Linked DNA regions of Arabidopsis thaliana. The protein of the gene in region 1 binds, or shares a complex with, the protein of each later gene. Each region holds a gene or a part of one and is shown on either strand. Other genes may lie near its edges. The genes, in order: SAE2 and SCE1. A codon is read from its position in the direction of its gene.

The links.
Region 2: the proteins of SAE2 (region 1) and SCE1 are in contact, whole or in part, in a crystal structure (PDB 6GUM), measured with the Arabidopsis thaliana proteins. Residues at the interface, in NP_179742.2 of Arabidopsis thaliana: Leu469, Met471, Gly473, Asn474, Ser475, Leu476, Glu479, Val480, Gly481, Asp483, Leu484, Asp485, Met488, Asn491, Tyr492, Asn495, Pro504, Thr514, Glu516, Asp517, Leu518, Gln519, Lys525; in NP_191346.1 of Arabidopsis thaliana: Arg7 (codon at 2,171), Ala11 (codon at 2,183), Arg14 (codon at 2,192), Lys15 (codon at 2,195), Arg18 (codon at 2,204), Lys19 (codon at 2,207), Lys28 (codon at 2,360), Pro29 (codon at 2,363), Thr31 (codon at 2,369), Asp34 (codon at 2,378), Gly35 (codon at 2,381), Thr36 (codon at 2,384), Val37 (codon at 2,387), Asn38 (codon at 2,390), Leu39 (codon at 2,393), Met40 (codon at 2,396), Glu67 (codon at 2,964).

Annotation. Positions count from the first base shown.
Region 1 is NC_003071.7:9,196,438-9,200,360, forward strand, and holds the start of SAE2 (SUMO-activating enzyme 2), read left to right. Parts: upstream 1-2,156; 5' UTR 2,157-2,314; coding exon 2,315-2,347; intron 2,348-2,433; coding exon 2,434-2,523; intron 2,524-3,021; coding exon 3,022-3,105; intron 3,106-3,176; coding exon 3,177-3,395; intron 3,396-3,542; coding exon 3,543-3,644; intron 3,645-3,779; coding exon 3,780-3,923.
Region 2 is NC_003074.8:21,428,340-21,432,262, reverse strand, and holds SCE1 (sumo conjugation enzyme 1), read left to right. Parts: upstream 1-1,864; 5' UTR 1,865-2,152; coding exon 2,153-2,221; intron 2,222-2,347; coding exon 2,348-2,431; intron 2,432-2,918; coding exon 2,919-3,071; intron 3,072-3,163; coding exon 3,164-3,277; intron 3,278-3,369; coding exon 3,370-3,432; 3' UTR 3,433-3,767; downstream 3,768-3,923. Other genes in the region: AT3G57880 (Calcium-dependent lipid-binding (CaLB domain) plant phosphoribosyltransferase family protein), read left to right, coding at 1-1,065. UniProt on the Arabidopsis thaliana protein: SUMO-conjugating enzyme that accepts the SUMO proteins from the E1 SUMO-activating heterodimer SAE1/SAE2 and catalyzes its covalent attachment to other proteins with the E3 SUMO ligases SIZ1 and MMS21.

The DNA.
Region 1 (3,923 bases):
AAATTCCATGAAATTTGTTTTTTTTTGTAAATAAACCATTTTGTAAAATTAATTAATATTACATTTTTTAAAAAGTAACAAAGGTTTTATTCCCTGTAGTTTGTTCTATTTCATTTCTCTTCATTCTTTCTTCTTTTTGTTCCTATTATTTTAGGAGTTATTATTAAAAATAGGCATTTGTTGGGTTGGAAATTAGAGATTAGGAAATTTTGTAATGCTTTACAGAATTAAACATTTCTGGTTTTGTGTCTTGACAATTTTACCCTTCATTCCACTAGAGCGAATAATGAAAATTTAACTTAGCTTTCTAATGACTGAAGTGAATGCCAATAATTGTAGATCGATTATGTGCTAGGATTTGTTGCTGTTGGGATTAGTGGACAAGATTAATTTTCATTTACAATGGATATGTTTAAGCTACGAAGTTGTTGTGTACAATTGTAGATTTTTGAAACTGTAAAACAAGATTAGAAAAGAAGAACATCACAGGAGAAACCTGATTGAGGTCACAATATTACAAAATTTACAACTTTTGCAGAAACGAATATTGGTTTGGGTGTATACACCACCGAGACATTAGTAGTATTTGGTTCATGAAATGAAATCATTTTTTTTTTTTTTTGAATACCAGAGATTCTGGGTCAAAGTCCGTAATCCTCCCAAATCTGAAACCACAGCATATAATATTAGTTTAGTCTCAAGCGTCACTCGAACCGGCAACCTCTAAGCTTCACCTAGGGTTTTTACCAATTAAGCTAACGATATTTGGTATAAATGAATTCTTTTTTAGTTACACTCAGATGGATACTAGGCTTTACAGACAAAGAAGTCGAGAGTGCACAAGCACCAATCCTACTAAATCCATTTTGATCACTTCACAACATGATATCAAGTGAAATGGATATTATTTATGAGGAAGTGTAATTTAATAATCTAGGTTACACCTATGTGTATATAATGCAACAAACAATCAATTAGTAAAACTACACCCCAAAGCGAATTACAAGATCAACACAAAGAGTCACATAAATGTGCATTCAAGAAATGACAATAAACACTAAGGTCTTGAATATGGGAGAACCCAATTAGACGAGATAAAATGCAAGCCAATAACAGGTAATTAGGACTACAAAACAAAGAGATAAAATGCATAACATGATTCAAAATTGGAAACTAAATTGAACAATCAATGAGCTAACTAGGGCTATTAGAGTAATCAACACAAGAGAATGCATCAAGGTAAAGAAGGAGAATCAAGCACATACATTAGTCGTATGTGACTAACGACCAATGAATTAGTGAAACTAAACCCTAAAGTCAATTACAAGTATCATCCCGAGGGAATTACATAAACACCTATTGAAGAAAGGAAATACTAAAGACCAGAGAACCCAATGGGCATGATAAAACACAAGGCAAAGAGCTCTAAGTATCATGACAGAGAAGAAGAGGTAACACACCGAATTCAACACACAATGAAGAAAGAACATTACACCATGAGAGACGTACGATGCTTCCATTCAGTATCCATTGTAGGAATTCATCAAACCAGAGAAAGCATTACTTGAATATACATTCCATCAACCAAGCAAAAAGTCGTGACTGAAATAAACTACAAATTCAACAAAACAAACGTGTTTTGTTTTTATCAAAACGTCATTGTCTAGATTTATTGAATTAAGCTTTAACTCTTAGCAAATGATTGAGATAGTTTAAACAAATATCAAGAACTTAACCTAACGTAAGCTATAAACTCTATATAAAAAAATCCATCAGTAGAGATAGTTTATAAAATTTGAAAAGAAAAAAATTAAAAGGCTTGAGTCCGATCAAACTACTAATTAAAAGCCATCACTAAATTGAGCAAGAAGGTGTAAAGACATTTATATGAAAAAAAATATATATCTTTTTAATTAATGTTTTTCAAACATAAGTTTACATAAAAAATAAAAATTCACTCGAATCAAAATTTTGTTTTGACTCGAATCGAATTGAATTAAAAAAGTCAACTACACTAAATATTCGAAAGAGGAAACTAACAAGTTTACACACAAAAAAGCCCACGTGACTCTTTTTTCTCCAAGAGACGTCTCTTTTCCTCTTCTCTCCTTTGTTCTTTCTTCCAAATTTCCCAAATCCCTCCACAATAAACCCTAGAAAATCAAAATTCGCTACTATTTCTCTGTTCCCTAATTTCTTTCGATTTCAATTCATTAGTCCTAAAAAGCTTTAATTTTTCTAATCCCCCAGTTCTCCTTCTTCTGCTTCTGAATCGTCGTTTAACGTATTGCTCCGTCTTTTCACTTTCTCCGCCATGGCTACGCAACAACAGCAATCCGCCATTAAAGTAAGCTCTGAAGGTGAACTTAAGCTTCTTTTTATTGGGGTGTTTTCAAATTGAAGTCTTTTCAATTCTCCTGTGTTTGGTTTTAGGGCGCGAAAGTGCTTATGGTTGGAGCTGGTGGGATTGGTTGCGAGTTACTTAAGACTCTTGCTCTTTCTGGATTCGAGGACATTCATATTGTAAGTTTCTCAATTTCTTTCCACTTTTTCTGTTTTCGTGACTTTTAGTATTCTTAACTTGTGATTTCTTCTTCTTCTCTATTGAGATTCTGGGTCACAGACGAAAGTTTAAGCATTTCAAATCTCCTATTGTGCTACTGGATTTGATTGGCATTTAGGGTTATTGATGATTTGAGTAATTTCAACATCTTTGAGCTTTTAGATCAAGTTAAGTTTGACTTGGAAGATGGAATCATATGTCTCTAGGAGGACTCTCTGTTTAGCTGTCTTCGCCAATAGGTTTAGTGTAATTTCTAAGACTAGTTAGGCTATTTATAATTTGGTGTGCATGAATTGCTTCTGTTTTAATTTTCGGATTTTGTAGATTTATGATTGATGTTTTGTATCAGAAACCATCGGATTTCACCTGTGCTCCTACTGGATTTCTGTATGAATAGAGCAGGGACTTATAAGATTAGTTTGTAACCGTGATTAAGTTACTGAACTCTTGTGTTACAGATTGACATGGACACTATTGAAGTCAGTAACCTGAATAGGCAATTTCTATTCCGTCGTTCTCATGTTGGGCAGTCTAAGGCTAAGGTAATTTTGCTTGAGCTAAGTCCAAGGAAAGCCAGTTCATAAGAGTTAATATATTTTTACCATATCACCAGGTTGCCAGAGATGCAGTCTTGAGATTTAGGCCTAACATTAATATAAGATCATACCATGCAAATGTGAAGAATCCCGAGTTTGATGTTGATTTTTTCAAGCAATTTGATGTTGTTCTGAATGGGCTGGACAACTTGGACGCAAGGCGTCATGTGAATCGCCTTTGTCTTGCAGCTGATGTTCCTCTTGTAGAAAGTGGGACAACGGGCTTCCTTGGACAGGTTATTCTGCTTGCCTTTTGGTCTTGCAGCTCTTCTTTCTCTTATCATTATTCTATGAGTTAGATGCACTACAATGTTAGGCTTGAATGGTGTACTGTTGTCATTTCTCTCGTATCTGACTTTGCAATACTTGCTTGTAAAAATCAGGTAACTGTGCATATAAAGGGAAAAACAGAATGTTATGAGTGCCAAACCAAACCTGCTCCAAAGACTTATCCTGTGTGTACAATAACCAGCACGCCAACTAAGGTATTAACACTGTCTTGTTTGTTCCAAATTTTTGTGAATCTTGGGGAAATTATATTCTATCTTGGCTTATATAGTATTATCCTAAGCATAGAGCTTGTTTTTGATGTGCCGATGAATTTTGAATTGATTCTGCAGTTTGTGCACTGTATTGTATGGGCAAAAGACCTGCTCTTTGCAAAGTTGTTTGGCGACAAGAATCAAGATAATGATCTTAATGTGCGATCCAACAATTCTGCAAGCTCATCCAAAGAAACAGAAGATGTATTTGAACGTTCAGAA
Region 2 (3,923 bases), on another chromosome or scaffold:
GTTTTTGATCCGTGCACCGTTGTTACTGTTGGAGTTTTTGATAACTGCCATCTCCATGGAGGTGAGAAGATTGGAGGAGCAAAAGATTCAAGAATCGGGAAGGTAAGAATCAGGCTTTCTACTCTCGAGACTGATCGAGTTTATACACATTCATACCCTCTTTTGGTGCTCCATCCTAACGGAGTCAAGAAAATGGGAGAAATTCACTTAGCTGTGAGATTCACTTGCTCTTCATTGCTCAACATGATGTATATGTACTCACAGCCTCTCTTACCGAAGATGCATTATATCCATCCACTGACGGTTAGCCAGCTTGATAACTTGAGGCATCAAGCGACTCAGATTGTATCGATGAGGCTGACCCGAGCAGAACCACCTCTAAGGAAAGAAGTAGTTGAGTATATGCTTGATGTGGGTTCTCACATGTGGAGTATGCGGAGAAGCAAAGCAAACTTTTTCAGGATTATGGGAGTTTTGAGTGGGTTAATCGCAGTAGGAAAATGGTTTGAACAAATCTGCAACTGGAAGAATCCAATCACAACAGTCTTGATCCATCTCTTGTTCATCATCCTTGTGCTCTATCCCGAACTAATCTTGCCCACCATCTTCCTCTACCTCTTCCTCATCGGTATCTGGTACTACCGTTGGAGACCGAGGCATCCTCCTCACATGGACACACGTCTCTCTCACGCTGACTCAGCCCACCCCGACGAGCTAGATGAAGAGTTCGACACTTTTCCTACTTCCCGACCATCTGACATAGTCAGGATGAGGTATGACAGGTTGAGGAGTATTGCTGGTAGGATTCAGACAGTGGTAGGTGATCTAGCAACTCAAGGAGAAAGGCTTCAGTCTCTGCTAAGCTGGCGTGATCCGCGTGCAACAGCGCTCTTCGTCTTGTTCTGCTTGATTGCCGCAGTCATTCTCTATGTGACACCTTTCCAGGTTGTGGCTCTTTGTATTGGAATCTATGCTCTGAGACATCCGAGGTTCAGATACAAACTACCATCCGTTCCTCTCAATTTCTTCAGAAGGCTTCCTGCAAGAACTGATTGCATGCTCTGACCTGCAAAAACTGCTTCCAATACCGAAGAAAACTTCTATAAGACTTGTAGTTTGTTCTTGTTAAAAATATCATGATGACTCTTTTTAGTTTGTTCATTGTTAAAAATGTCATGATGACTCTTTTCTTGGTGATGGTGATGATGTATCCGTCTGTCTTTTAACATTATTAAGACTTTTGTTTGAAAGTAGTAAAGAAGTATCTTGTGTGGTTTTGATGTTCTTGTCACTGGTTAGTAAGTCATAATCTATGCCTCTCTGGTTTTTGTGTTTTATCACTGGAGCTTTAGGAGTTTGGTGCCATTGGGTTGGTTGCTGTTGAGATTAGAGGTTGTCACAGTTTGGTCTAATGGTCAAATACAAGTTTCAAGAAAAAACCATTTTTCTAATACATCCAAAGTTGGTTATAACCAAAAAAACTATCATATTGGGAATATATGTTCGCTAAATAACATTCTTACACAAAAATTCATTGAAAGCTTTGATATTTTATTTTTTTTCCGACCATTCTGTTTGACAAATGTTTGCCAGGTGAGATACTTTTATTCTAGAAAGACCAACCATTAAGAAGAAGAGGGGAATAATTAAAGCAAGCTTAAGAGTTAAGAACACAAAGTAAATGGGCCCAGATATGGTAATGGGCCACGTGACAAATGGGATGATACGTTATGGCAGAGAAAGAATCTTTTGGTAGCTTTTTTGGGTATCATCGCGTAGGTTTCACGCCACATTTATCCATTGACTTTTTCATTACGTCTTTTCATTTATTTTATGATATAGTAGATAATAATTATACCTGGTTAAAATTTAATAATTGACCGGTCAATAACCATTAAAGTGGAGGAAGTAGGACGAAAGGACATTTATTCGCCGCGAAATCTGGACCGTACGATACTCCGATTACCCTTCTAAAGCTTTAACATAGGGGTACATCTGTAACTTCACATTCCATCTTCCCCCAATCTCCTATTTGTGTCTTCTTCGAGTTTATATATAGAGAGATAGAGATTGGAGAGCGAGCGAGACAAATCAGAAGAGAGAGATTTAGATATTGTAGAGTGAGATTCTAAAGAGAGAGAGAGAGAGAGATATGGCTAGTGGAATCGCTCGTGGTCGTTTAGCTGAAGAGAGGAAATCGTGGAGGAAGAATCATCCTCATGTAAGTGATTTCGTGTCTTCTATTTCTCCAAATTCGTGATTTTGATTTATGGGTTTTGGGTTTCTGTTGATTGTTCATGGTCTCTGATTACTGATTGGGTTTCTTCTTGTTGATGGTGAAATTTAGGGTTTTGTGGCAAAGCCGGAGACGGGGCAGGATGGAACTGTGAATCTAATGGTGTGGCATTGCACTATACCTGGTAAAGCTGGGGTAAGTATCAATCGTGAAATTAGGTTTCTTCAGTTTTCTTATTCCTCTGCTTGTTTTCTTCTGGTTTGTATTAGTAGCAACAAAAAAGAGATTGAAATTAGGGTTTATTGATTTGGGCTAAAGTCTTTGTTTTTATCATCTTCTGATTCTTAGTTCTTCAAAGTTTTAAGCTTCACCAGTCTCTTCCCTTCTTTTTCTTTGTGATTCTGTTTGATGATTCTCTCATATTTGCTTACACATAGAGCCGTGGAAGATTATCTAATATGAATGTTAGTGGGAAGAGTAGCTGTGTATCTATCTCCTTGTTTATCTTGTATGATGTTTTTTTATTGGTGCATATGATTTTGGTCTTGAATACGACATTGAAACTGAACTCTGCTGTGTATCTTACTTTGACATGGCTAATAAGAGTGTTACTGCAAGAGCAATTGCTAATATCAATCTTTACTGTTGTTTATAGCTAATTTTACATGTTTCTCTGCTGCAGACTGATTGGGAAGGTGGATTCTTTCCATTAACGATGCACTTCAGTGAGGATTATCCGAGCAAACCTCCGAAATGTAAATTTCCACAAGGGTTTTTCCACCCTAATGTCTATCCATCTGGAACTGTCTGTCTCTCTATCCTTAACGAGGATTATGTAAGTACTCTACTGTTTCTTTCTTTGCATTTCTCCATGAGCAAAAGCCAGCTTTATCCTCAAGCTCTCTTTTGTTATGTGTATATCCATAGGGATGGAGACCAGCCATCACCGTGAAGCAGATTCTTGTTGGTATTCAGGATTTACTTGACACACCGAATCCCGCTGACCCTGCACAGACAGATGGTTATCATCTCTTCTGTCAGGTACATTTAGAAATGAAAACTCTAAACACAATATTAGGTTTTGAAACATAGGAAGGAACTAAGTCGAGTGATTGTTGATGATTATTGTGCAGGATCCAGTTGAGTACAAGAAAAGGGTGAAGCTGCAGTCCAAGCAGTATCCTGCTCTTGTCTAAAACCTCAAAAAAGAGAACGCACCAAAACTGATGACAAGCTCTGAATATTTTCTCGTCTTGTGTCATTATGTTTAGATGTCATTGGGTGATTGAAAACTCCTCATTTTGGCACCTTAAGACACTGGAATCTATTTATTTTCGAAAAAAAACTCTTCTTTCTCTATTTAACTGTTAATATTCTTGGTACTGATTCAGTTGGTGTTGCTTCTATATAATACATAATTATGTTCTCTGGTCGTTCATGAGTGTTGTCCAAATTCTACTAAGTGAAATATGAAGTCTTCATTCCATAGAGTAACGAATCTTAGTTGTGAATCTAGAAATACATATATTTCTAACTTGAAACTACGCTTAACACTTGAAAGTCAAAATCTTACTCCTCTAAAATTTATACTCCACTGATTTTAGACTTTTGAAGTAGTATTAGTGCTTGTTAGTAAATTGTTTGCTACTTGGAACATTTTTTGTCAATGATTGAGATAGAAAGCTTG